4 linked regions of the Elephas maximus indicus genome follow. The protein of the gene in region 3 purifies or fractionates together with the protein of the main gene of each other region. This does not show direct contact. Links are inferred from orthologs where the notes say so. Each region holds a gene or a part of one and is shown on either strand. Other genes may lie near its edges.

Region 1 (6,916 bases), on a different chromosome or scaffold from region 3:
ATTACCTCACTATTTTGAGGACTGAATTAGATAATGTTTGTAGACACTTGTTAATAATGTTTTCTCCTCTTATACTGCGTTGTTGGTGAAACTGAGCTTCAACAGCAAGTAGTGGGGAAGGACACCCAGGACAGATTCAGCACAACCACAGCTTTGGGGATTCAGCTCAGTGGAAGGAACATCATCAGTCTTTAGTGAAAGTGTGCTGAATAGTGAACAGCTATAGCCCCAGGCTCTGCCTGCTCCCCTTCATACATTTTGCAGAAAATGTAATCATTTTTAATAAAAACCATTTATTAAAAAAATTCACTTACAATATCATCTAGCTGCAGACAGACAGGATCCTCGTCTCTCCCAAACCTGAGAACCAACACTTTCTCTGCAGTACTTTTTATTGCCTGGTCTACTTCTTTTTTGCTGATCAGCTTGGGCAATAGGAAGCTCATCTTGAAATAATCCAAATTATTAATTCTCGCTGGCAATCCTGAAATAAAGCTGCAATGTTTAAAGACAGTTTGAGTGCATGAGTCCTAACTATGTAAAAAAAAAAAAAAACTTTTTGGAATAGGTAATTATATTTACGTGGTATAAAAACAAACAATACAGAAATTTAAAGTGTGAAAAGTCTTCCCTCCTTGCTTTTCCCTCCTCCAGCTCAGTTCCCATTTCCCAACCTCCCCCTGAAGCCCCCATCAGGTATTATTTTTATCAGTTTTTTACATATCTTCCAGAGTACAAATATGCATTCCTATATTTCTTCCCTTTTCACCCAAAAGATAGCCCACTCTATCAATGTTCCAGCAGGAAACAGATGGCACCCTCAACTTTGGTAATTTGAAGACAGTTTAGTGAAGGCAGGATGTAGGAAAACAAGGTATAGTGCAAAACTTTGGGGCTAGTAACCGTGGAGACATGGGAGGGAGTAGTTACCAGAACTGGATGGTGGAGACAGCTGAGTGGAGAGTGCTGTTGGCTAAGCAATCAGCCTGCAGTTAAGGGATGCAACCACTCTCCTCCCTCCTACTAGTGCTCCCATGGCTGCCTCCAAATGAAATCATAGGGCAGGGGACCTGCTGAGGCAGGCCAGCCTCCGGGTCACAGAACAGTCTAGAGGAGGAAAGGCATGTCGGGAGAGCAGATGGAAGTCCAGCACACACTTTATCCACTCTTCGCGCTTTGCATTTTTTACCTAACATACAAAGATTTCATACTTATATAGAAAACTTCCACTTTCTTTTTCATAGCTGCGTACTACTTCATATCATACTATTTAAACAGTCCGTTATTGATAGACATTTGTATTAGGGACATGGCAAACAGATCAGCTGAAGGCGTGTAGGAAACAACAATCAAAAAAACACAGAAAATACTGAGATAGAAAGGGCCTTACCCATCCCCCTCATTTTACAGACTAGCTTGCTTATAGTTACACTTCTAGCTCTACAAGGACTAGAATTCAAACTACCAAATTTCTACTCCAGTGCTCTTTCTACTATATAAGCTTCTACTTTTATTATTGAAGAAATTTCATTTCTAAGGAACTTCTTAACAAGGAGTTTTTTGTTTTTTTAGGCCAATCTTGAGAGATTTCATTGAAATATACTTGATATTTTGAATTCAGTTCCAAAGCTGGCTAATGTTAAGAAAAAGTGAGAATTTCTTTCATTGTATTTTTGTGATATGTCATATCTTAAGGTATGAATAAAAATTCCTGCAATAGGTCATACTTTAAACAGGGAAGCTGATTGTCAACAGGGAATTCACAAACTGTTGGTATCAGAACAAATTACCGATGAAAAGTCAAAGAGAAGATTAATCTGTCCCACCACTAGATTGCAAACATTCAGAAACTCCTCTATGTTGCTGATAAAGAGAAGAAGGTGAGGGGAGGGCAAAGTTGTCAACAAGGAAGCCAGGGGGGGACTGGATGGAATGCTGGAAGGAGAGGGAAATTGAGATGACACTTAAGAAAATGTCCATAGCAAAGGATACTAACAGGGAATTCACAAAACAAGAGGTACAAATGGCCAATCAATCATAGTTAAACTGTGATGCGTTAAGATTGTGTGTCAACTTGGCTGGGCCATGATTCTCAGCGTTTACATGTGATCACTCCCAAGATGGGATCTGCTGTGAGTAACCGAGCAGTTGAAAGGAAGTTTCCTTGGGGGTGTGGCCTGCATGAGAATATATGCAGCCATTCTGGCTTTTTGCTTGCTCTGGATCCTGCGGCTGCCTCCTGTTCGTCTGACCTCTGGCTCTTGGGACTTGAGCTAGCAGCTTGCCTACCAATATTGGGACTCAGCGATCTTCACAGCCTGTAAGCGAGAGCCCTGCTCTTTGATCTGCCCATCTTGGGTTCACCAGCCCCAGCAGCTATGTGAATCAGGAGAAACTACTATTCTGATTCACAGACTTGGGACATTCCAGCCTCTACAATCAGTGTGAGCCGTTTCCTTGATATAAATCTGTGCATTCATACGCTCTACTGGTTTTGCTTCTCTAGAGAACCCAGCCTAAAACATAAACTTTACTAATAACTAAAGAAAAACAAATTAAAAGATAACTTTAAAAATCCACTAAATTTGCACAGATTAAACAAGATAATAATATACAACAATCACACCAAATGTGAATGTTGGGGCTGGTATTAATCATCCCTGCTGGAATGCAGAGAGGCAAAACTATTCTGGAAAGAAAGCTATTCTTTGACCAACTATTCCATTAAAAAAAATTAATACATAGGAAATAATCATACACGTGCAGAAAGATTTATTGTGTAACATGTATTCATTACATTTATAATGGTGAAAAATTGGAAACAACCTAAATGGCTATCAATAGGGGACTGATGACATAAATGAACACAGTCCTGCAATGGGCCACTATACAGCCACTAATTTAGAGATGAACAATTAATATACTGAAATATTCTCATGATACATAGCTCAAAAAAAGTTACAAAACGGTATGTAAAGTATAAACCCAATTTTACATGAACCGTAAATATAATGTATGTGTACATATTTGCATAGAAAAATTGCTGGACGAGTAAACATCGTAAACACCATCAGTGGTTATTTCTGGGTGTGGATAAACGGGTGATTTTTATTTATTTCAGGGTGTGCCTCTGTCCAAGTATCCTACAATAAACATGTATTATGAGAGAAATACTTGATAAACTTTTTAAAGATGCCTGTGGTTAGACTGGGAGCCCTGACGGCGCCGTGGTTAAAAGCGCTGGCTGCTAACCCAATGGTCAGCGGTTAGAACCCACCAGTGGCTCGGCAGAAGAAAGATGTGGCGGTCGCCTTGGAAATCGTATGAGGCAGATCTACTCTGTCCTTTAGGGTCGCTGTGAATCGGAATCAACTCGAGAGGGCAACCGGTTTGGTGGCTGGGCTACTCCTGTCTACAACTGCCAGGGAAGACACACTTACTTTACTTGTACAAGTCACCTTCTTCCACTTCAGGGCTGTCAGCAAACGGGACCCCTTCTCGGAAGAAGCGGGACACACGTGGCGCTTTTCTTCAGCTCCAACTCAGGCAGCGACCCTAACGCCAAGTAACCGAGGGGCTGTTGCCTAGCAACCCTCCGCTGACCACTTCCGGGTAAAGAAACGAGAAAGAAAACGCACTGGTGTAGTAGATACTGAGCGGTCGCTGGTCAACCTCCGTTTAACCGCCCAATATGCAGGCGAGATTATTCTAGTGACCGCCCACTTTACCGGCTCTAACCGGAAACCCTAGAGTCACTTCCGCCCATATTAAATATGATTCACCTTTCTTCTTCAGCTCTTCCCCCCCTCCCCCATACTAGACGTTGGATAGTACCTTTGAGACTAAGCGTGATTGGCTCGCGAGGAGACTCAAAAGAGGATAGTCTAGCCTTGCCAGCCAGGTCGCGCTTTGTCCCACTCCTGGAACCAGGAACCGGCGTTTGGCGGACTGCTCTCGGTGGTATCTTTGCGCGGATAGAGAAGGCCCCGCAAGGTATCATGGGGGTAAGAATGGCGGCTTTCAAGGTGCGGATTTTGGCTCCCTGAGGCCGCCTGAGCGTAGAGTGGCGGCGCCGACGCCCCACAGTCCGGGACCGAAGGGCCCGGAGAGTTGTGCTCGCTGCCGTGAGTGTCCCTTCTTTTTCCTGCCCTTGCCACTCCGGGCCGCTCCCGCGGCGGATATCGATCCCTTGCTCAGGTCCGGGTTTGAAAAGTTAACTTTTTCGGTTGTCACCCAACTCGCTTTTTTCACCTCAGGGATGCGTTCCGGTCCTTCCTGCCCTGTCCCCTTTCTTTGCTCCGGTCAGATCCCTCACCCCTCCTCAGGCCCCTGCCTTAGCTCACTCCCTGACCGATGATCAGCCGGAGTAGGGCCCCGTGTGTCTTCCTCTGTTTTTTCACGCGGCTGTCGTTACCAGACAACTTCGTGGGCGATCACCTCTAGATGTCAGCTTCAAGAGTGCGAGAATTTTTGCCTGTTTTGCTTTCTGCTCTGTCCCTATTGCCTAGAACAGTGTGATTGGCTCAGAGAAGGCACTCAGTGAACAATTGTTGAATGAGTTAATCTAGCTTTTTCTTCACTGTTTTTCTCATACCTTTTGTGGCGTCTTTGTCATTAGTTCTCCAGAATCTAGCCTCTTCACGCCTTATTTTTTGTTCTTCAAAGCTAGTTAAGGCCTCTCTGTCAGAAACCTTTTCGTGTGCTCCTTTGCTTGATGTCTCCATAAACTTGTGGCGTCTGGTTCTCCTTTGATATGTTTAAACTCATTCATTTATTCCTCAAACGTTTGTTTTAACTAGGTGCTGGGCTAAAGCAGTCAACAAGATAGACGAGGTTCCTTTAGTTGTATAGAATGGTATTCTAGAGGTAAATTTTCTAGTTTAAACTACAGCTACTCAAAGCCTGTATGTTTCTACCTCCCTGTTTGGAGTGTCGCACATGTATACAGGTGTCACCAATATGCGTCCATCTCTTTTATATTCTGCCTAATATTTTCAAAATGCAGCTCTTGCATCTGATTGATAATGTGTGTCCAGTCTGTTTGACTGTACTCTCAATGTAGAGCTGGGTGTGTTCATTAGAGCTTGGCAAAATATTTTGGATTCTGGTGGCACCCTACCCTTTCCTCTGCTTCACTGACTTGTTGGAATGAGGGGAATTATGCAAGCACTCAGAATAGGTGTATGTTTGCAATGCCGTGTAATGAGAAGTAAGAAGAATTTGTTACTTGTTGAAGGTCAGGAAGTCTTACAGTCACTTAAACAAAATATTTTTCAGGAACACCGTTCCCTAGAGTTTCTCATCAATGTTTTTGGTGAACATCAATAGTTATTAAACAGATTTTGACTGCTGTGAGGTAATTCTTTTCTACAAAACACACTGGTCTGAAAAAAAGCCACCAGAGTATGGATAATATGGATGGCAGCCTAATACCCCAACATCTCTATGTACTCTGTTGTATCTGTAGTTTAAAGAGAGGGATAGAGTAGAAGAATAGAGAGTACATTCATGAAAAAAAAAAGTGGCAAGGGACCCACTCAGTATATAGGAGTGTGGTAAATAATGTAAAAACTTTAGTTATATAACTGTTTATGGTTATAAAGGAGCCCTGGTGGCACAGTGGTTAAGTGATAGGTTGCTGATCGAAAAAGCAAGGGCCCTTTGAACCCACCAGCTACTCAGCAGGAGGGGAGAAAGATGTCATAGTCTGCTGCTATAAAGATTTGCAGCCTTGGAAACCCTATGAGGCAGTTCTAATCTGTCTTATAGGGTCACTGTGAGTCAGAATTGACAGCAGTGGGTTATAGTTACATAGAACTTTCACATGTACTTTCTTGTCTGATCCTCATAATAATCCATATTTTAGGTAAAGCAAGCATCGTTTTCACTTTATAGACATGGAAGCGATGGCCAGCCAAAGATTAAGTTATTTGCTTGTAATCACGCGAATAGACAGTGTCAAGAGCCTGGATTCTAACTCAGGTTTTATGACTTCAAACCTAGGGGTGTTTCCACTACATTGCCTGTACAAATGCTGCTAGTCCCTCATAACTGTTCCTTAGTGAAGTCTATTCTTGTCTGGATGATACCCTTTTGGATTCTGGGGGGATGTTTGTGTGTTTCTGGTGTGTGTTTGGATTCTGCAAGGGGGTCTTTCAGGATTGTCAGTGACTTGACTGAAAGTTTTTTGCAAGATAAGCTAAAGATATCCTGGTCTTGTTGCAGGGATGGGGAGAATTAACCCCTAAATATACCTGTAACTATAGGTATTCTGGTATATTTCAGAGCCTAACCTTCTCCTGTTTTATGTCTTGTCTTAAATGGTTTATTCTCCTGCCAGGGAAATCCCATAGCCTGTGATGGAGGACAGCAGCGAGGATGCTTCGATCCATCGACTGGAAGGCACTGATCTGGACTCTCAGGTTGGTGGTCTTATTTGCAAGACCAAAAGTGCGGCTAGTGAGCAGCATGTCTTTAAGGCCCCTGCCCCTCGCCCTTCATTGCTGGGACTGGACTTGTTGGCCTCCCTGAAACGGAGGGAGCGAGAGGAGAAGGATGACGGAGAAGACAAGAAGAAGTCCAGAATCTCTTCCTACAAGGACTGGGAAGAGGGCAAGGATGACCAGAGGGATGCTGAGGAGGAGGACAGTGACCAGTCCGGCCGAAGTAGCCGAAAAGACAGGTAAAGGCCTTAAAAAAAAAAAAAAACCGAACCCACTGCCATCAAGTTGATTCTGACTCATAGCAACCCGATAGGACAGAGTACAACTGCCCCATTGAATTTCCAAGGAGCGCCTGGCGGATTTGAACTGCCAGCCTCTTGGTTAGGAGCAGTGTCACTTAACCACTGCGCCACCAGGGTTTCCGGTAAAGACCTTAGGAAGGATTAATCCAAAGGGAATGAAAATGGAGACCA
Region 2 (7,682 bases), on a different chromosome or scaffold from region 3:
ATAGCTCACTCCTCTACATTCACAATAGCTTGTTTCACTCTTACAGTAAGCAAAATTCTCATAGCATGTTATCTATACTGTTTTAATAGCACCACTTTCTACCCATTATTAACTAAACTTCTCTGTGAACTTGGTTAGAATTAGATACTTCTCATTTTTTCTGACTCATTTTTGAAACCCCCACAGTGCCAACCACATTGACTAGCACATAGTAAGTATTCAATATGCATTTGTTGAATGACTAAATTACAGCATTTACTGTTGTGCTGTTCTTTATATTTTAATTTGATTTTTAAAAAATTTTTTCTTGACAGGATGTAAGCTACTTAAGGACAGGTTAGTTTTTAATTCACCTTTGACTCTCCATTATTCCTGGCCCACCAATGTTTACATGACACGTGCTTAATTTTTACTGACTCGAACCAGTATGATTTGATAAATAAGCCCACTACTCAAAATGTGTTTATGTGAACACCTGACCTGGATAAAGAATTAGCACAATACCCTTGGAATACTTTCTTCACACAGAAATGAAAAAATCTTGGCTTCCTGGATCCTTACAGAGGGATCCTTCTCTTCTCTGAAAACATGTATTGCTAACTCACTAAACTACTCAGCTGGCACTTAGAATGTATCATCTTGTATTATCAGTAAATTTTACATCTGCAGTCTCTTTCCTCAGGCATAATGTAAGCCAAAAGCAGAGACATTACACTTATTAACTGAAGAAGCATGGTATAGTGAAAAGAGCATGATTTTTGGTGTCTCAAGTCCTAGTTCTGCCATCTATCAACCATGTGACTTAGAGAGTATTCATTTCATCTTTCTGAATCTCAGTTTCACTGTCTACAAAACAGAGGAACTACTTATCTTGCAGAGTTATTCTAAAGATTAGAAATAATACATATAAACCGTTAGCACATGGTGTATACTCAATAAAATGGTTATTATAAAGCCTCTTTGACTCTTCAACAAGTAGCAATGCCCACCACATACTAGGAACACAATAACACTTATTGCTAACAACATAACCACATGCTTACTAGACCTGCAGGTTAAATAAGACAAAAACATACCTGTTAGATAAGAGGTAAACTGCTTTGGACCACAGCGAACAGCATAACGTGTGGTTGTTCTCACAGCTTTTGGCTCAGTCTGCAAAGCATCTCTAGGACAAAAGAAGGTTCCGTCTGATGTTTCTCCCCACCATCTCACTCGGACAAGTACACAAGTGGGAGGCTTTGCAATCTTCCATATGACTTTATTAATAGTAAGTTTCAGAAAGCAGCGCAATTGGCCTTCAACCAGAGGTGGAAGGCTTGTAGATGGAGAAATATCACTCAAAGCTGTGGAATAATCCAAGAACCCTGAGTCAAAATTTAGACTAAATATAAAAATCATGAATGAAAAACAAACAAAAAACACTTTAGTCTCTACAGAGAGAAGGTTTTTTCTACCTACTTCAATACATGATAAGTAACTAGCTAACCAGGCTGTGGAATAACCTATCTGGTCGTTTACACCACCCTGATTGTTGTTGGGAAACCCTGGTGGTGTAGTGGTTAAGTACTATAGCTGCTAACCAAGAGGTCGGCAGTTTGAATCTGCCAGGTGCTCCTTGGAAACTCTATGGGGCAGTTCTACCCTGTCCTATAGGGTTGCTATGAGTTGGAATTGACTCGATGGCTGTGGGTTTGGTTTTGGTTTTGATTGTTGTTGTTAGTTGCCATCACATTGATTCCAACTCATGGTGACCACGTTTGCACTGCAGAACTGCTCCACAGGGTCTTCAAGGCTGGGACCTCTCGGAAGCCAGGCCTTACACTTCCGAGGTGCCTCCGGGTTGGTTTTAACCGCTAATCTTTAGTTAGTAGTTTAGTGTTTATAACCATTTGAGCCAACCAGAGACTCCAGCCATCCTGATAGCCCATTAGTATTTAGGCTCTGAGTCAGGTTATTCTAAGTAAAGAACATACCAACTTAAGACATACTAATATAAACTTCTCTTTAATTGAAATTAATTAATTTAAAAAATACAAATACAATGATACAGTTTTTTAAAATCTCAGAAATAGCTGAATTTTTGCTGCCAAATACTGATGTTTTAAGGCAACATCCATGATTTTTAAGATATGTTATCTTTACCCAATTCACTTATTTTAAAAAACTATCAACTAAACATAAAACAGCAACAACTCCCTTCACTGAACTCCCAAACAATTTAGTGTGTGCCACACAATCCAATATTTCAATAAAGACCATCTTAAACTGTGTCTTGTCTCTCCTACCAAAATCATAAAGTCAATGAAGACAGAGACTATCATCTTTACATTCTGCCGCTACTTTTTAGAACATTGTTGGATTCACAATATTTATTGGCTTTCAGAAAGATAATACATCAACATGGGGCAATTATCATGACTTTCTATGAAGCTTTGCTTTAACGGCCTTGTCTTCCATTCACAGCATCATTTCACCATGTGACTTTGAGTTTTCCTCTGACTTTTCTCTTGAAGAGTGGTCATGCCTCATAAGAAAATACACTTGAACCAGAATCTAACAGATCAGGAATCTACAAAAATAATTCTTTAGGTTTCTGAAGCAAATACCCTTTACTGCCCTTCATAATGGAAAAACTCCCACCATAATCTTTATGGAGCCTGGTGGCATAGTGGTTAAGAGCTCGGTTGCTAACCAAAAGGTCAGCAGTTCACATCTACCAACCGCTCCTTGGAAACTCTATGGAGTTGTTCTACTCTGTCCTATAGGGTCACTATGAATGGGAATCAAGTTGACCACACCTAACAACAACAATGAAATCTTTACGGATAATTAGTTTCAATATAAAAATTATACACAGGTTTGTACATGTGCCTCACTGCATATGCATCTGTTATAGCAAGAAGGACGTTATTTTCTATACTACGGTTGTCATTTCTACTTTGGTTTGTCTTTTATCAATCAAATGTGCTTGACTGATTTGCCAAAGGGAGCACTGGCATTGAAAACCTCCATGTCTCTGTATCAGATTCTCCTACCATATCTGGCAGGAAAAGCACTGCCTCACAACTGCCTTACAGCTTGGATAAGATTCTTTCCCATACAGTAGCTTCAGCCTTCAACCCAATGGCCTTAATGTACTATCAGTATTCCTAATACCCTTTCTTCACTGTTGCTGTTGTTAGTTGCCATCTGGCTCATTGTGACCCCATGTGTGCAGAGTAGAACTGATTCATAGGGTTTTTTAAGGCTGTGACCTTTTGGAAGCAGATGGCAAGGCCTGTCTGCTGAGGTGCCTCTGGGTGAGCTGGAACCACCAACCTTTCAGCTAATAGTTGAACATGTAACCACTTGCACCACCCAGGGTCTCTTAAAGTGCCCATAATATAAAAAAGTCATGGCCACCTAATTTTCTTTTTTTCTTGAAGGCAGCCCTAGAGAGATCCAACTTCCAGTTTTCTGATCTGCCCTGGGTTCCTAGCATGACTGTTCTCACTACAGCTAACACACTCCTACCCTTTTGGACACCTTGTTTCTCCATCAGTGTCCTAACCTAATGAGGTCCTCTTGCATCTCTGCAGCCTGCCCTCTAATGTTCCCCTTCCTAGCCACCTCACATCCTTCAGAAGATCCTCATGCCTTCACTCCCACTCCAATCCTACCACACCTTGTCACTACCCCTTTGCTGTTAAGTCCAATCCGACACATTGGGACCTTATTTTTTCAGCTCGTCACTACCCACTCTTTTCTCCCTCTCTGTTGCACAACTCTCCCAACTCTCGCTGGTAGGCCTCACTTGCTTCTTTCATTCAACTAACATTTATTGAGTAATGCTTTGCGCTAGTCCTTGGGGATCCAATAATGTATAAAACGTTCTTGCCCACTGACTTAGTCCCCTCTCCAACTTATGTTTCCTGTGGCCCCCTGAAGACCTTCAAAGTCTTTACCCCCCCCCCACACGTTTAACTTTGTTATTAAAAACACTCCTGGAATTTTTCCTTCCCCTCTCCTAGAGATGTCCTACTTGTACCTTTTTAGCCCTCACCAGCCCACTCGTTCCCGTTTTTTGCGTCGCACCCCATTTCCTTTTCATTCTTTGGAGGGCCAACTGTCCTCTCTTTTAACCTTCTGACTCCTTGGTTATTTTCCTTCTTCGTCCCATCTTTCTTTTAAACCCTGCTCCTTGCCCAAACCCCGCCCGGTTACGCTTTTTTCAGCCTTTGGTTGCTCGGGTTACCTCTCTTTTTGCGGCCACGGCCACCCCCAGGTCCCTGGCCTTTTCGTTGTTTCATGCCGAACCCGAGCTCTTTTTCACCAACTTAGCTCCGGACCCAGCACCGACGTCTTACCCTCCCGCCATCCCTTCTCCTGGCGCCAGCGTTCCCCGGCAACCGGCGCCGCTGGGCAGCCTGGGAGGAAGGAAAAAGCAACTCTCTCCTTAACAGTTTCTGGGAAGCCGTCAGAATGGAAGGCGCCAAGACTCCTTCCCGCCAGTAGACTACAACACCCAGGATGCTTTGCTATGCTACCTCTGCGGGGTCGGAAGCGGTCACCTCCCGCTGCGCAAGCGCGAAGGGCTAGGCCCTTAGACGACTCCATTGCCCAGGGTGCATTGCCTTTCAGAGGGCTCGTCTTTCCGGCGAGAGCTGTCGAGTTCTCCACTTGGGGTTTCAGCGGTCCGCAGACTCCGTTACCCAGCTTCCTTTGTGGGAGTGCTGTGGCGCACTTCCGGTGGAGGTGCTGAGAGAGGGGGTGGAGTCTGAGGAGCCGGTGGGCGGTAGGCGGTGCTGCCGGTGGCTGAGGGCTGTCTAAAGGCGACAGGGCGTCGCTAGGGAGCCATCTGTGACCGGTTGGCCCACACTTAACGTGGGACGAAGCTTCGGCTGCTGTTTGAGTACGTGCGGCCTCGCTTTCATGTCGGCCCTCGAGAAGAGCATGCACCTTGGCCGCCTGCCCTCTCGCCCTCCCCTACCCGGCAGCGGGGGCAGTCAGAGCGGAGCCAAGATGCGAATGGGGTACGTGACCCATACCCCTTCTCCCTAGAGGCCAGGCCCCGGCCATTGGAGAATGGCGTTTCTGGGCGTTTAGAGCAGCACGGGAGGAGAGGCTAAGGATAGAAGAACGCTGGCAGCGGCCTGGGAGAGGTTTGGTTGGAGTAGAAGGCAGATCTGGGAGACTAGAGGAGTCGCCAGGTCAATGGAAATTGGAGGACACCATCAGAGACTGGCTTGAAGGAAAAATTAGAGGAATAGCGATGTTCAAGGGAAAGGGAATGAGGCAAAGATTAGGGAAACTGAGAGGATAATTAAGGGATGTGGGAGGCACCTCCAGAGGAAGGAATGAAAGAGGTTTGAGGAAAGGAATAGAGCCGTGACAAAGGTGGGAGGTAAATGTGCCAGGCAGTGCTGGAGGAAATACGGAATGACTGAGAGAAAAGTTGAGGGGAATTGGGGGAACGGCTTGGGAGTAGTAAGAAGACTGTGAGAACTAGATTTTAGAAAAGCTGAGGGGCATAGGGAACACCTGAGGTAGGGTTGGGGAAGAAAAAAGGAGAGCTTAGGAGCAGAAGGTTCTAGACAGAGTTCCCAGAGGCATAAGAGACAGATCCAGGGAGTGAGGGGTGACTAATAGATTAGGTCTCTTAAGGGTGAACTGAGAAAGCTTGGTAAATAGGCCTAAAGAAAGATGGAGAATATAGCCAGGAAGATTGTTAAGGGTAATAGGAACGTTTTTTGAGAAGCTGGGAAGGAGTGACGAAGGAGAGGTCTGAGGAGTTTAGAGAGTGATGGTGGGCCCTAGGGATTGAGAAATGATTAAGAATAGGGTTTAGTGAATGGAAATGATGCAGAGGCGAGGTCTGGGAAGCTTTAAGAAAAAGATTTGGACAGTTGATTTTTGCCGGACAAGTAGATTTGAGGGAAGCAACGTACTGGCCTTACAATTCTCAGAGAAGTCATGAAGCATTGGGAGTAGCTGCTTAAAATAAGAAAGTGTTGGGGGAAAACAGTTTGATTGGGAGAGATGGAGCCGTGTGGAAGGGATAGGCTTTGGAATTTTAGGTCACTGAATGGCTTGTGCCAGGTTTGGGGATACTTAGGCAACAGAAAGAAGTCATAAAAGTTGAAGATGGGAGAGGCAATTGCTGGAAAGTAAAGGGAATTGAATAATCAGTTGGGATTGAGGGGTGTTTGTAGTGTCAGAATTCTGGGGACTAGTGACTGTAGAAAAGGGGTAGGAAGGATATGTAGGTATGAAGTAGTGAAGAATGTGTGTTTGGGACTCCAGAGGTGGGTTGGTTGATATTCTGGAAACGAGGACTCCTGAGGAGAAACTGTAGGTTCTGAAGAAGTAATAATTTACAAAAACTGATCAAAAATGAAATAAGCAAGAGATGCAGTACTGTGAAATTAGGTCCTAGGAATGAAGGGAAAGGAGAATCCTATAAATTAAAACAGTGGGGCAGAGAGATGGTGAGAATGGTTGGAGAAACCAGGGAAGGAAACGAAGATGTACAGTAGAAGAAATGAGGAAACTTTGACAGAAGGAGAGAGATTGGTGTATGCACAATAGAAAGACGTGGTAGAAGGCTACATGAAAGATAAAATGAGGATTGCTTTGGCTTTGGAAGAATGGAAGGTAGGACTAACATGAATAAAGGGAATCTGGAAACTGATCCATAGCAGATTATTTGGGAGAATTAATCTGGGGTATAAAATTAATGTAACATTTAGTTGTTGCCTTTTTCAAACTAAAATTTCCTCTTTCAGTATACCAGCACACTCTCTCTATAAATATAAAAAATATATTTTTAAAAATAACTAAACTATATATACTTTGATGTTGTTAGGTACTGTTGAGTCGGTTCTGACTCACAGTGACTCTATAGGACAGGGTAGAACTGCCCCATAGGCTTTAATAAGGAGCTGCTGGTGGATTTGAACTGCCAACCTTTTGGTTAATAGCCAAGCTCTTAAGCACCATGCCACTAGGGCTCTGTACTTTCAGTAAGTTTAATTAGAGCTCAGCTCCTCACCTTGTCAAAACCAGTTCTCTGAAGAGGAAGGGGTGGGGGGGAATAACCACGAGAAAACAAAGGAGAAATCTGCTGATTAGAAGATTGTATAGTTGTTAGTAACTTAACTTTTTCAGTAACTTGTCCTTTTTAAATAGATGCTTTGGGCTTCGTGATTTAGGTTGGCTGCTTATCTTGAAAAAATAAAGTTATTTAGGAAGATGCGTTTTTATCATAGTATTGGGAAGAGAAGAGCATGATTTTACTATATTGGTGAATTTTGTGTGATCCTCAAGTGGCTTATTTTCCTATATTTTTGTTTTCTGCTTCCTTTTTGGTACCTTGGCAAGGCCTCACCTAAGTCTGATGGTAGTGACAGAATGGACTGTCTTATCTAGACTCATAAAGCTAGACAAGAGCTTAGAAGTGATCTCATTTCACTACTTCATTTTATAGTTGAGGAAACTGAGACTCAGAGAATTCTGTATTCTGTGAGGCAAGCTAGGGCAGGGGATATTTTCTCTTGATAAACGAAAAAATTGAGGCTCAGGTGTTCCTGCTCTTAGGCAGCCTAGGAACTTAGTGGTAGGGCCACTAAGGACTAGGGTCACTTGACTCTGAGACCCATTGTTTTTTGGATTCATAGTTGTTATCCTGGAAATACTAATTT
Region 3 (7,140 bases):
TGCTACAATAACGTATCGATGAAAATAAAAATGGTTAAAACTACAGAATTCGTACCTTAAGCAACCCATCAATCCTAAAACATCAAAGAGATCTGAACTCTCACTTTTTATATTTGCATTCTCCCATGACAATCTTAGAAATTAGACAAAGCTCCATTTAGCCATAAATGGATAAGAGAAATGGCAACTTTCACTATCAAAAGGCATGCCCACAGTTAAAAGTAATACAAACTTCATTAAATGTCAAAAGATGAATTTGAGAACACCAATCATTTTAACACAAAATGCTCTCAGTAAATATAGACCTAACTTGACAAAAAAAAGAAAAAAATTGTTTAAGTCCTCTATCAAGACAAATAATTGTTCAGAAAAATCAGATTAAATTTCTCAGCCGCCGGTGATCCAGTAAGGCAAGATATTAAAAAGCTGTATTTATTAATGGTGGTGATTGCACAATATTGCAAATACAGTTAATGCCACCAAATTATATACTTAGAAATGGTTAAAATGACAAATTTGTTATGTGTATTTTACTACAATAAAATTTTTTTAAAATTTTAAACCTGTCTTTTAGAAACTTTTGACTGTACATTTAGAGCCACTGTTTTTTTATCAAGAAGGAAAGGCAGTTTGTACAGAGCTGATTAGCTGATGAAGAGACAAGGTTTTAAATATTTTTTTCTTAACTTTTTCTAAGTTTAAGCGTTTTTCTCATTTCTAAATTTGGTTATCAGAGGACTATACTACAACCATAGCAAAACTTGTGAAAATGAACACTTGCTAATAAAACCACAGAAATTACGTATCACTTGAAGCTCACACTCTTCTGTTAGGCCTCAAAAAGTATTTTGAAAATAGGCATGAAGTAGGGGAGCCAGGAGAGCCCATTTATTACCACTGCACCCAAAGAAATCTTTCTCCTTCCTGTTCCCCCACCATTACCCAAAGGAAAGACAACAAGGAAGTCATCGAAGCTGCGTTGCTCTCTACAAATTAACTTTGCCCTCTACAAACTAACTCAGCCAGAGTGTGAAAACAACTCCTGCCACACAAACTACACACAATGGACTTGAATATTCCTTTTGAAAACAGCCCTAATTTACAAGTTTCAAATTCAGAACATTTGGAAACAAGCCTAATAAAATGGTAAGCATATGTAACAAGTTAGCTATCCTAGAAAGTTTACAGGACAGTCAAAACTTATCATCTGGAATTTGTCAGATAATCACCCCGAGTACTCAAGAGAATAGAAGTCACACACTTCAAACACCTACATCTATGACAACAAAAGCTTGGATACGGACAATAAGACAAAATACGACCAACAAAAGAACATGAAACAATCAAAGCCACAAAACCCTGGGGATAAAGCTGTTCATTATGGCCCAAAAGGGTCATAATGGAAAAGACAGTCTTCCTTTCTCAGGCCCTTTCAGACTAAGAAGTTCTAAACAGGCCTAAATGTAGATGTTAAAAAAAAAAAAAAAGGTAAACAATTTTTTAAAATGCATTACGGAGCATGCATAAAATAAATAAAAGTATATATTTATTACATGCTTTAAATGATAGTTTTTAAACTGTAGGAATGACACAGATTAATAATTCTTCCAGAATATACTTTTTTCTTTGTCCTATGCAATCCTGAATGACATACGTTTATAAAAATGAATACAGGTTTCAACTCACATTGTTTCTCCAGTCTTGGCTACATGACAAAGAAACTGATCCAGGACAGGACAAACTTCCTTTTTCCCCCTCTTCTCAAAATCTAGATAAGAGAAGAAAGAAATGTTATTAGTATTTCCCAAAGTCCATCAACCATTCCCAACACCTTAATACAAACTTTCCTCCCAGTCCTTCCCCATACTAAGAAACAATAATAAAATAAAAATTAAAAACTCATCTTCTCAACCAAACAGCCACCTCTACCCTCCCAAGCTCCACTTCCAACATGTCACCCACTTCACTGGTATTCACTGCTAACAGGACGCCTCCAAAAGGGGGCACTCGACTTCTCCAAAAACTAGCCTGAATACAGTGTTTCCCAAAGTGGGGTCACGGGGAACACCAGCATCCGCCTCACCAGGGAATCCGGTTAAAATACAAACCTCCAGGCCCGACCCCATTAACTGTTTATCTAGGTGAAGTTCACAAGTCTACGTTGTAACGAACACCACCTACTCGACGGAGCCACCCCCAAACGATTCTGAATTGTCAAAACATAATTCTCAAATCCCTGAAACCATGATATTCCAAGTTTGGGAACCACTATTCTCAAGCCTGTTGCTTGGAAGGCGACCACCTTTTAGAATTAGGGCGCGTGCAAAGATGCCTCCAGAAGCCCTGAAAGGCTTCGTAAGACAACCTAAAAGTTGCTTTGCCAGCGCCGCCCCCCCACCTACCCTTTTACTTTTTCTCTCACCCCGATGCCCGGCATGCGGGAGCCTGACGGCGAACCGAGCCTGCCTGCGAGGGGCTACGACCTGTCCCCGCCGGGGTGGGAGAGGGGCTGGAGCCCCTCCGAGAGCTCCCCGACTCCCCTCCCCCAGCCCAGACGCCGGCGGCAGACACAAAGCCCAGAGCGGGGCGGGAGGGAGCTGCCCACAGGGCTCCCCGCCCCTGGGAGGTGGGAGGGGGAGGGGAGCCGGAGACGCGCCCTCCCGGGCCCGGGCCGCGGAGCCACCGGCCCGGAAAGGAGAAGAGAGAGGGCCGCAGAAGGAGGGGAGAAGGGAGAGGGGCAGCCACCCCCACCTTTCAGCGCCTCCTGCAGCCTCTCGACGTCCATGGCTTCCCGGAGTCCCTCGCAGCCTCCGCCTCCCGCCGCGGGTCTCCCCGAGACCGGAACGCCTCCCCCCACCCCCCCGACGCCCTCCCCCTCCCTCGCACACACTCCGGCACGCAGGCGACCGGGGGGGGCACCGAAGGGAGCCGGGGGAAGCGAGCGAGAGAGCGAGACCGACAGAGCGAACACCTCCCCGAGCCGCTACCACCAGCCCTCCAACATGGCGCCCGGCACGTCACCGCGCGCACGCTCCCCGCCGCCGTCCTCGCGCCCGCTGCGCGCCCCGAGCCGGGAGCCCGAGAGCGCGTGCGCGGCGGAGGCGTGCCGCCGGGCGGTCCCGTCGACCCGGCCTGGTGGCGGGCGCCGCATCCTCCGCCTGCGTGGTGCTCCTCGGCGGGCCCCCGCGGTACTGCAGACAGCACGGTAAAGGAGCGGGTTGGGAGCTGACTCGCAGGATTCGAGTACCCTAGCTAGCTGTGTAACCTTGAGCAATTTACTTCTCCTCTCTGAGCCTAATTTTCCCAATCTGTGCAATGAGGGGAAACCCTGGTGGTGTAGTGGCTAAATACTGCGGCTGCTAACCAAGAGGTCAGCAGTTCGAATCCGCCAGGCGCTCCTTGGAAACTCTATGGTGCAGTTCCACTCTGTCCTATAGGGTCGTTTGGTACAGTGAGGGCACTGGTTCCGACCACCCTATCTATGCAGTTTCTGTGAAAATTAAGGAAGAATGTGTACACACAGCGTTCAGAGTATGAATAAAAAGCACTCTGTATTACAGCTATTAATAGTGACAAGAATACCTCTGCCCCTGAACTCGACGTTCACTCGTCACTGACCCACCCGTGAAAAGAAGCAACGCATACAGCAAAGTGATTCAGAGCTCAAGCTTTGGAATCAGCTGAATTCAAATCCCACTCCACTACTTACTCCCTCTGTGGCCCTGGACAAGTTACAACTCACAGAGCCTCAGTTTCCTTGTCATAAAATGGGAATTGTAAAACAGGATTGAGGATTGCGTGAAACGGTGTGTATGAAGCACTACAGGACCTGGCACTTGGTGAGCACTTAGTTAACAAGGCTCCTGCTGTTTTTAGTATCATTGTGATTAAGATTACATTGCCTAGGCACCCAGGAAACTAAACAGGGGACTGCAGAATCCTTCTCCAGCGCTGACATTTAACAAACGGGAAAGCTGAGGCATACAGAGCAAGTCCGGCAAAACAGCAACTGAAACTGGGACATCTGGCTCCCAGCCTTTGTGTGGACATTTTTGTGCTCTTGTTATGTCCGTGAACTTTTAAAGGAAAAGGCACTGGACTGTTGCACCTTCTCTTCCCAAAGCCTAGCAGAATGTCATGAAAGAAAGGAAGAAAGAGAAGGCAGTTTCTGGGCTTGTCTTGTTGTTGTTAGATGCCGTGTCAAGTCAGATCCAACTCATAGCAACGCTGTGCACAGTAGAACGAAACACTGCTCTGTTCTGTGCCATCATCATAATCGTTGCTATGTTTGAGCCTATTGTTGCAACCACTGTGTCAATCCATCTCTTTGAGGGTCTTCCTCTTTTTCCCTGACCCTCAGCTTCACCAAGTGTGATGTCCTTCTCCAGGGACTGCTCCCTCCTGATAACATGTCCAAAGTACATGAGACAAAGTCTCTCTGTCATCACTTCTAAGGAGCATTCTGGCTGTACTTCTTCCAAGACAGATTGTTCATTCTTCTGGAGTCCACGGTATATTCAATATTCTTTGTCAACACCATAATTCAAAGGTATCAATTCTTTGGTCTTCCCTATTATTCATTATCCAACTTTCGCATGCATATGAGGCAGTTGACAACACTGTGGCTTGGGTCAGGGACACCTTAGTCCTTCCTCAACGTGACATCTTTGCTTTTTAACACTTTAAACAGGTCTTTTGCAGAAGATTTGCCCAGTGCTACACATCGTTTGATTTTTTGACTGCAGCTTCCATGGGCATTGATTGTGGACCCAAGTAAAATGAAATCTTTGACAACTTCAATCTTTTCTCCATTTATCATGATGCTGTTTATTGGTCCAGTTGTGAGGATTTTTGTTTTCTTTATGTTAAGGTGTAATCCATACTGAAGTCTGTAGTCTTTGATCTTTGGTTTGTCTTCCCAAACAAAACCAAACCCACTGCCATCAAGTCGATTTTGACTCATAGCAACCGCATAGGGTTTCCAACGCTATAAATCTCTATGAAAGTAAACTGCCTGTGGAGCTGCTGGTGGTTTCAAACCACTGACCTTTCAGTTAGTAGTCAATGGCTTCAACCATTATGTCACCAGAGTTCCTTTGGTTTGTCTTAGAAAGCACAAATTTGTATGCAGCCGTTACAACTGTTGACACTCTTAAAAGGTAGTGGCTGTGATTCTTACCCTAGGTTACAGATGCAGGCAAAAGTCTTCCACACCCAAAATACCTCTCTGGAGTGTTGTAGTTGGAAAACCAGTTCCCTTCCATTGTCTACAGCATTCAGCTCAATTACAAATAGCCTTGTAGGGGTGGCAATAGGGTGTCATCATCAAACACTTGGTCAGCACTTATGATGCACTAAATTTAGTTTTTCATGGCCCCTTCTAGTCTGAAAGGGCCTACTGTGCCTACATAAAAAGCCTGTCCTGCACTTCTGACACCCAGTCTTTTTTTTAGGCAGGTCACTTGCTATACAAAGGTCCCTGGGTGGCACAAGCAGTTTCCACTCAGTTACTATCTTAAAGGCTGGCAGGTTGAATTCAACAAATGATACCGCTGAAGAAAGGCCTGGTGATCTACTTCCATAAGGATTACAGCCAAGAAAACCTTATGGCTCTACTCTGCAACACGTGGGGTCACCATGAGTCGAAAATGAATCGACCCAACAGCAACAGGTTTGGTTTTGGTGTCTCAGTGTAAAAGCTGGCTGTGTAATACAGTTCCACTAACCTCATGTGACTGTTTAAATTCCAGTAAATTAAACAGGAGTAAAATTGAAAATTCAGTTCCTTAGTTACACTAGCCACATTTCAAGTGCTCAATAGCCTCGTGTGGCTAGTGGTTTTTGTATTGTGCCTTGCAGATACAGAAAACTCCATCCTTGCCCAAAGTTCTCTTAGACAGTGCTGTGTTGGAGGAACTCATTGTGCTAATTTCTTCCTCCTTGCTTTGTCCCTTTCATCAGTCATTCCCCTCACTTGGGCATGCCTTTCATTTCCAAACTGGATAAGGTCTGTGACAGGAAATAAAGTGGACACAGCAGTGACAGCCTAAGGGAATCAGGGAAAGCTTCCTGGAGGAAGTGGTGTTTAAGCTGAGACCATTGAATTATGAGAGGAAGGGAGCGAAGTGAAGTAGATAGGAGGAGAAGAGGAGCTATCAAACAAAAAACCAAGATGCCTTGAAATGAAAGAGAAGAGCCAGGTGCATTCTAAAGATACATAAGAAATTCAGTCTGACTTGAGCTGAGAATGCAAGGGGAAAAGAGGCAAAAGAGGAGACTGAACAATTATTTCCTTTGGTTCATTAGTTCTTTCTTCCTTGGATTTTTTTCCCTAGCTAGCATGTATCCCAATGTCAGTGATTCCTTAAGCCTCCTATTAGTACTAATTCCCGTGGAGGATAACAGCATACAAATGTGGTAGCCAACCTCCACAATGGCCCATCTTAGTTACCTATTGCTGCTGTAATGCAAATACTGCAAGTGGAGGCTTTAAAGAACAGAAATTAATTTTCTCACAGTTCTGTAGGCTAACAGTCCCATTCAGGGTCTCAGCCCTGTCGATTCCTTCCTTGTTGGTAGCCCCGGGCATTCCTTGGTTCTTGGTGATCCTCACATGCCATCTCTCTTCCTTAGTGTCATGGATTGAATTGTGTCCCCCCAAAATATGCATCAACTTGGTTAGCTCATGATTTTGTGTATTGTGTGGTTGTCCTCCATTTTGTGATTGTAATTTTATGTGAAAGAGGATTTGGGTGGGATCGTAACACCCTTACTAAGGTCCTGTCCTTGATCCAAGGTAAAGGGAATTTCCCTGGGGTGTGGCCTGCACCCCCTTTTATCTTACAAGAGGTAAAAGGAAAGGAAAGCAAGCAGAGAGTTGGGGACCTCATACCACCAAGAAAGCAGTGCTGGGAGCAGAGCGCATCCTTTGGACCTGGGGTCCCTGCGTGGAGAACCTCCTAGTCTGGAGGAAGATGAGTAGGCAGACAGAGGGAAAGCTTTCCCCTGGAGCTGACACACTGAATTTCGACTTCTAGCCTACTCAACTGTGAGAAAATAAGTTTCTCTTTATTAAAGCCATCCACTTGTGGTATTTCTGTTATAGCAGCCCTAGATGACTAAGACACTTAGTATGTGTTT
Region 4 (7,362 bases), on a different chromosome or scaffold from region 3:
TCCTACAAAATACTCCAGTTATATATGTAAAAGAATCACTGTCACTAACTTAACATTGCTTCAAACATTCTCATTTCAGAGTATCTTAAACACAGGCCCAAATACGCTATTTCTAACATCAAGCGTTGCTCTTAACAAACAGGCTGCTATTGTCAATGCTGATTCACAGTGTCCCTATGTGTGCAGAGTAGAGCTGCTCCACAGGGTGACTGTGACTTTTCAGAAGCAGATCACCAGGCCTGTCTTCTGAGGCACCTCTGGGAGGGTTCGAACTGCCAACCTTTCAGCTAATAGTTGTGTGCGTAACAATTTGCACCACTCCGTGACTCGACAAATAGGTATAACCAGTTATATGGCAGGGAAATTATGAAAGCTCCTATGGGTTTAAAATGCCTTAAATATTTATTAAAGAATGCTTCCTCAAACCAATATTTAACCTAATAATTTATTTAGCACTCTAGAGGTTTTTATACCCTAGAGCAGTGCACCGCTGAAAAATTTAGGATAGGTGAGGGTAAGGCTCTCCTATGTCATATGGAAGGAAGACGAAGTATATTCAGATAGATATATTTTAGAAATAATACAAAAAGAAGTTAAAGATCTGGAATTTGAATTCCTTAAAACTCTCCATGGATCCAGCACCGCTAGGAGAGTCTGCAAGTAAATTATAAATGCTGACTGCTTTATAACCACTACAATTACATACGGTGTAATGCATAACAGACAAAGTAACTCAAAGAGTAACCCAATCTGTAGTAGGATGAAAATGAATTTTTTCCCCTTCTTTTCTGTATTTTCTTAACAAGTCTGCAAAAATGTTACAATTTTTTTTCCTTTTAAATTAGGAAGCAAAACATCCTGTCAGGACTGCCTTCCCTGGTAACCACCCTCCACCTGAATCACAAATGCCAGTGCTCCCTAGAGTTCCCTCTCAGGACCTCTTCTTTTCCTTCGGGTGATTTCCAGATGATCTTACTCCCAGGGCTCCAGGTACCAATTATAAACTTATGGTTCCCAAACCTAAACTCACAGGCAAGTCATCTTTTTTGAGCTTCAAGATAAATACAACCAAATGCCTACTTTATGACCACACACACTTCCCATTTTGGTATTGTTATGAATTATGTCCCCCCAAAATATGTGCTGTAAATCCTAACCTCTAGGCCTGTGGTTATAATTCTATTTGGGAATGGATTGTCTGTTATGTTAATAAGGCAGGATTAGGGCTGGGTGTGTCTTGAATCAATCTCTTAAAAAATATAAAATGAGCAGATTAAGCAAGCAGAGGTGCCAAGCCACATGGATATCTCCAAGGAACCAGGAAACAGAAGCTGAAGAGACAGACAATGGCCTTCTCCCAGAGCTGACATAGAGAGAAAGCCTTCCCCTAGAGCCAGCACTCGGAATTCAGACTTCTGGCCTCCTTAACTGTGAGAAAATAAATTTGTTTGTTAAAGCCATCCACTTGTGGTATTTCCATTATTGCAGCACTAGGTAATTAAGACAAGTATTTTCAAAACTAAATTTATTCTCTATCTAACTGCTCACTTGCCCTATCCCCAATCTGCTTCTGTATTTCCCACCTTGTTTACTGGAGATAATATTCATGCAACAGCCCAAGCTGGAAATCCGGACATCGGTACAGATTCCTCTCCTTCCTTCTCTTCTCCCAGCAACTGGCCATCAAGTTCAGGAGCTCATCTCCTCAAACTTCTCGTCTCTCTCCTGCCATCTGACTGGTCTCCTTGCCCTACAATCCCTCCAGTCCACCCTCCACATCACCTCCGTAACAACCTTTCAGAGCGCACACTCTGATAACATCACTACTCTGGATAAAATTACATACGGTGGTTCTAACAGGGAGCCCTGGTAGCACAATGGTTAAGAACTCAGCTGTTAACCAAAAGGTCAGGAGCTCGAATCCACCAGCTGCTCCTAGGAAACCGTATGCGGCAGTTCTACTCTGTCCTATAGGGTCACTATGAGTTGGAATCGGTCGCAAAGAGTTTGGTTTTACTTGGTACACATCTCTAGGACCCCTGGTGGTGCAGTGGTTAGGAGCTCGGCTGCAGTTTGCATGCACCAGGCGCTCCCTGGAAACCCTATAGGGCAATTCTACTCTGTCCTACAGGGTCACATGGACAGCAACAGGTTTGGATTTTTTTTTTGCTTTGTTTTATACATCTCTATCATAAACAGTTATTCACACTGTCTGGTAATTGTTCACTTGTCTCTCATGAGACTGCGAACTCCTTGAGGCAGAGGACATCTTTCACCTTCTATATCTTAAGTACTGGGCTGGGTACCTGATTTGCTAAAAACTAAACATTTCTAGCAGCCCCGTTGTTAACCCCCGGAGCCCTGGTGGCCAGTGGTAAGAGCTCGGCTGCTAACCAAAAGGTCGGCAGCTGGGCTCCACCAGACGCTCCTAGGAAACCCTGTGGGGCAGTTCCACTCAGTCCTACACAGTAGCGACTGGCTGACAACCAGTTAGACTGTTGTGGTTTGGGGTTAACCCCCAGGAAAGCAGGCCACAACCATTAACAGAAACAGGCCGACGGCGGCGGCGGCTGGAGCGGGAGAGACGTTCGGCGGGCAAAGTCCGTCAGAGCCGTCACGCTGCGCTCACGCCCCGGCGCCTGGCGAGCCTCAGCCGACCGTGGGGGGGTGGCGACACGACTAACGTGCTGTCCGTCACTCAAAGGTCCCACCCGGGGAGCTCGCCCTGCCTCTCGCCCGGGCCCAGCTCCCGGGCCGCGTCCCCACCCGAGCACCGGGGCCTCACTTCTCCACATCCGCCGACTTCATGATGTGGGTCTTGGCAGCTGTCACCTTCCAGGGCCCGAAGGCGAAGTCCTGGTGGCTGCTCTGGAAGCCGTGGATCATCATGGCTGAAGCGGGGCCCGCGACGGCCGCACGGAGCAGGCTGGAGCGGCCGCGGCGTCGGGCACCGGTTCCCCCGCCTCCCTCAGGCCCAGCCCCACGGCTTCCGAGCCGTTACCATGCCCGGCCCCGCCCCCAGCCTGCCGCCCCGGACGCGGGACACTCCTTTTCCGCCTCCTCTCCGCCCTTTCGCTTTTCCTTCCGGGTCCCGTTGTCAATGCTGCGTGACCCACGTCTTACGTCACGGCGTACCGGGGTGGGGAAAAAGGGAGCAAAGGCTGAGGGGTAGGGCTTCATCTGCAGGGGGTGTGGTCAGAGGTGCACCGTACTCTTCTGCTCTTCGGAAGGCGAGTCCAAGATGTGATTGTTGTTAAGTGCCTCTGAGTCCGTTCTGACGCATAGCGACCCTTTGCACGCCCATTGTCGTCACTCCACTTCGTGGAGAGTCTTACTCTTTTTCTCTGACCTCTGTTTTACCAAGCATGATGTCCTTCTCCAGGGGACTAATCACTCCTGACAAGTCCAAAGTACTTGAGACAAAGTCTCGCTATCCTTGCTTCTAAGGAACATTCTGGTTGAACTTTTTCCAAGACAGATTTGTTCCTTCTTATGGCAGTCCATGGTATAGTCAATATTCTTCTCCAGCACCACAATTCAAAGGCGTCAGTTCTTCTTCAGCCTTCTTTATTCATGTCTAGCTTTCACATGCATAGGAGACGATTGAAAACACTATGGTTTGGGTCAGGCAAACCTTAGTCTTCAGGATGACAACTTTTCTTTTTAATACTTTAAGGAGGTCTTTTGCAGCCAATTTGCCTAATTAAATGCGTCTTTTGATTTCTTGACTGCTGCTTACATGAGTGTGATTGTGAATCTGAGAAAAATGAAATCCTTGACAACTTCAATCTTGTCTCCGTTTATCATAATGTTGCTTACCGGTCCAGTTGTGAGGATTTTTGTTTTCCGAAAAAAAAAAAAAAAAAATTTTTTTTTTTTTTTAATGGAAACCCTGGTGGTGTAGGGGTTAAGTGCTATGGCTGCTGACCAAAGGGTCGGCAGTTCGAGCCAGGCGCTCCTTGGAAACTCTATGGGGCAGTTCCACCCTGTCCTGTAGGGTCGCTAAGAGTCGGAATTGACTCCACGGCACTGGGTTTGGTTTTTTTTTTGGTTTTATGTTGAGGTGTAATCCGTACTACAGGTTGTGGTCTTTGGTTTTTATTAGTAAGTGTCTCAAGGCCTGTTCCCTTTTAGCAAGTTAGGTTGTGTTATCTGCATAATGCAGGTGGTTAATGATCTTCCTCCAATCCTGATGCCCCGTTCTTCTTCATATAGTCCAGTTTCTCGGATTATTTGCTCAGCATACATATTGAATAGGTATGGTGAAAGCATACTACCCCAACGCACACCTTTCCTGACTTTAAACCACTCAGTATCCTCTTGTTCTGTTTGAACACCTGCCTCATGATCTGTGTACAGGTTCCTCATGAGCACAATTAAGTGTTCTGGAATTCCCATTCTTCGCAATGTTATCCATAATTTGTTATAATCCACACAGCCCAATGCCTTTGCATAGTCGAAAACACAGGTAAACATCCTTCTGGTATTCTCTGCTTTCAGCTAGGATTCATCTGATATCAGCAATGATATCCCTGGTTCCACGTCCTCTTTGAATCTGGCTTGAATTTCTAGCAGTTCCCTGTTGATGTAATGCTGAAGGTGCTTTTGAATGACCTTTAGCAAAATTTACTTGCGTGTGATATTAATGATACTGTTGGATAATTTTCGCTTTCTTTGGAATAGGCATAAATATGGCTCTCTTCTAGTGGGTTGACCAGGTAGTTGTCTCTGAAATTTCTTGGCATAGACAATGAGCACTTCCAGCACTGCATCTGTTTGCTGAAACATCTCAATTGATATTCCGTCAATTCTTGGGGCCTTGTTTTTTCACCAATGCCTTCAGTGTAGCTCGGACTTCTTCCTTCAGTACCATCGGTTCCTGACCATATGCTACCTCCTGAAATGGCTGAACATCAACCAATTCTTTTGGGTATAGAGCCTCTGCAAGTTCCTTTCATCTTCTTTTGATGTAATCCTTAAAAACAACAACAACAAAAAAAAACCAAACCCACTGCCGTCAAGTTGATTCCGACTCATAGCAATCCTATAGCTCCTTACAGACCTCTTAAAGCAATGTAATTACCTTTTGTATTAGAGAATTGGTGTAAAGAGTAAGTGCCCAGAATTTTCCTGTTGAGGCACAAAAAAGTAATTCTTTAGAGTGCAGGAGGTCCAGCATCACGTGATTTAAAAATGGCCATCTAGTCACTATTAACTAAGATAGACTCCTGTCAAAAAATTTCATCTTTCAGGTATTCAAGGCTGCCCATGGTCTAGCTAGTCCCTAAACACCTGATATAGTGGAAACAATACTGGAGACCCGGGTGCTAATTCCACTTTTGCAACTCTACAGCTGTGCATCCCTGGTAAACCACTTAACTATCTTTAGGCCTCAGTTTGTTTCCTCAAAATGCGATGGTTTGATGCTAGGTCATCTCCCAAATCTAACTTTTCAGCCTTTTTTCCAGCAGTTCTAAACCCTACCCACCTATACTTGGCCCTATGGCTGAGCTCTTACTCTTTCTTTTCCAGCTGCCTGAGAGTCATTTTCAAACCTGTCATGTTTTACACACAACCTAGCAACCTGTTAAAGATATAGATCTTCAGGCCTAGAATAACCTGCTTTGCATTTGTACTCCACCTCCAAAAGGCTCTCCCTGGCCCCTGTAGCTGGATTAGATCACTTCTTCCCCTGAGCCAACATGTCAGTTTAAGCCGACTTCACTCATTCCAGTTACCACTGTCCATTCACTCATCCAAATGAATGCCAAAACAGAGCACCTGCTTTTTGCCAATCACAAGTTTTATCATAAAATTGTATTCTCATCTTTTCTTATAACAGATTGACAATGGAGTTCCAAGACATTGTTTTAGTGATAAAAGCAAGGCTCCCTGTCCCTTAAAATGTATATTTTCTATCTGTCCAATTTCATCTAAAATTTCAACTGGTTTTAGATATACAGTACCAGATCGCTGATTAACTCAATCAGTCATTTACATCTTAGTGTAAAACATTTGGAGCCCTGGTGGCACAGGGATTAAGAGCTTGGCTGCTAACAAAAAGGTTGGCAGTTCAAATCCACCAGCTGCTCCTTGGAAACCCTACAAGGCAGTTCTACTCTGTCCTTTAGGGTTGTTGTGAGTCCCAATTAAGTTTGAGCTCTTTTTTTGGGGGGGGGGGATCATTACATCATTTTCTGCAATCTGGCCTAAATAGAAAATTGCCAGGCCACCGAATCCAGTGCTTTCCTACCTACCCTCCCAAAATATTTGTCCCTGATTTTCCTGGATAAGACATGATGAAGACTTCCTTTTATACGGGTATTTTTATTTAAGTATAAAATCTATCAATTAAGCCCTGACGTCTCTACTGGAGAATTCTACCAAACTCACAGAGAATAGTTAACACCACTACTACTAAAGGTATTTCAGAGTATAAAAAAGGATGGAATACGCCCTAACTCATTCTATGAAGCCAGCATAACCCCGACACCAAAACCAGGTAAAGACACCACATGCAAAAAAGAAAATTACAGACCAATATCCCTCATGAACATAGACGTGAAAATTATTACCAAAATTCTAACTAATAGAATTCAACAACATATCAAAAATAATAATTCACCATGACCAAGTGGGACTCATACCAGGTGTGCAGGGATGGTTCAACATTAGAAAAACAATCAGTGTAATCCACCACATAAATAAAACAAAAGACAAGAACCACATGATCTTACCAATTGACGCAGAAAAGGCATTTGACCAAAGCCAACACCCATTCATGGATAAAAGCTCCTAGAAAATAGGAATAGAAGGGAAATTCCTCAGCATAATAAAGGGTATTTATACAAAGCTAACAGCCAACATCATCCTAAATGGAGAGAGTCTGAAAGCATTCCTCTTGAGAACAGGAACCAGGCAAGGATGCCGTTTATCACTACTCTTATTCAACATTGTGCTGGAAGTCCCAGCCAGAGCAATAAGGCAAGAAAAAGAATTAAAATGGATCCAAATTGGTAAGAAAGAAGTAAAAGTATCTCCATTTGCAGATGACATGATCTTATATACAGAAAACCCCAGAGCATCCACAAAAAAAAACTACTGGAACTAGTAAAAGAGTTCAACAGAGTATCAGGACATCAGATAAACATATAAAAATCAGTTGGATTCCTCTATGCCAACAAAGAGAACATCGAAGAGGAAATCACCAAATCAATACCATTTACAGTAGCCCCCAAGAAGATAAAATACTTAGGAATAAATCTTAACCAGAGACGTAAAAGACCTATACAAAGAAAACTACAGTACACTACTGCAGGAAACCAAAAGAGTCCTACATAAGTGGAAAAACATACTTTGCTC

What was found.
Region 1: the proteins of PPP4R2 (region 3) and DHX38 purify together in Homo sapiens (affinity purification with mass spectrometry; 3 studies listed by BioGRID and IntAct, counting the BioPlex papers as one, with this or other methods). This does not show direct contact. The link is inferred for Elephas maximus indicus from reciprocal best matches to the Homo sapiens genes PPP4R2 and DHX38.
Region 2: the proteins of PPP4R2 (region 3) and PPME1 purify together in Homo sapiens (affinity purification with mass spectrometry; 3 studies listed by BioGRID and IntAct, counting the BioPlex papers as one, with this or other methods). This does not show direct contact. The link is inferred for Elephas maximus indicus from reciprocal best matches to the Homo sapiens genes PPP4R2 and PPME1.
Region 4: the proteins of PPP4R2 (region 3) and TIPRL purify together in Homo sapiens (affinity purification with mass spectrometry; 5 studies listed by BioGRID and IntAct, counting the BioPlex papers as one, with this or other methods). This does not show direct contact. The link is inferred for Elephas maximus indicus from reciprocal best matches to the Homo sapiens genes PPP4R2 and TIPRL.

Annotation. Positions count from the first base shown.
Region 1 is NC_064839.1:38,403,254-38,410,169, reverse strand, and holds the start of DHX38 (pre-mRNA-splicing factor ATP-dependent RNA helicase PRP16), read left to right. Parts: upstream 1-3,904; 5' UTR 3,905-3,993; exon of another isoform or gene 3,994-4,004; intron 4,005-4,032; exon of another isoform or gene 4,033-4,124; intron 4,125-6,340; 5' UTR 6,341-6,359; coding exon 6,360-6,682; intron 6,683-6,916. Other genes in the region: TXNL4B (thioredoxin-like protein 4B), read right to left, coding at 315-446. UniProt on the Homo sapiens protein: Probable ATP-binding RNA helicase. Involved in pre-mRNA splicing as component of the spliceosome.
Region 2 is NC_064825.1:48,323,648-48,331,329, reverse strand, and holds the start of PPME1 (protein phosphatase methylesterase 1), read left to right. Parts: upstream 1-4,677; 5' UTR 4,678-4,914; coding exon 4,915-5,015; intron 5,016-7,682. Other genes in the region: C2CD3 (C2 domain-containing protein 3), read right to left, coding at 1,077-1,346, 4,238-4,292. UniProt on the Homo sapiens protein: Demethylates proteins that have been reversibly carboxymethylated. Demethylates PPP2CB (in vitro) and PPP2CA. Binding to PPP2CA displaces the manganese ion and inactivates the enzyme.
Region 3 is NC_064838.1:20,593,314-20,600,453, reverse strand, and holds the start of PPP4R2 (serine/threonine-protein phosphatase 4 regulatory subunit 2), read right to left. Parts: upstream 3,014-7,140; 5' UTR 2,786-3,013; coding exon 2,752-2,785; intron 1,769-2,751; coding exon 1,687-1,768; intron 1-1,686. UniProt on the Homo sapiens protein: Regulatory subunit of serine/threonine-protein phosphatase 4 (PP4). May regulate the activity of PPP4C at centrosomal microtubule organizing centers.
Region 4 is NC_064821.1:216,493,363-216,500,724, forward strand, and holds the start of TIPRL (TIP41-like protein), read right to left. Parts: upstream 3,013-7,362; 5' UTR 2,890-3,012; coding exon 2,786-2,889; intron 1-2,785. UniProt on the Homo sapiens protein: May be a allosteric regulator of serine/threonine-protein phosphatase 2A (PP2A). Isoform 1 inhibits catalytic activity of the PP2A(D) core complex in vitro. The PP2A(C):TIPRL complex does not show phosphatase activity.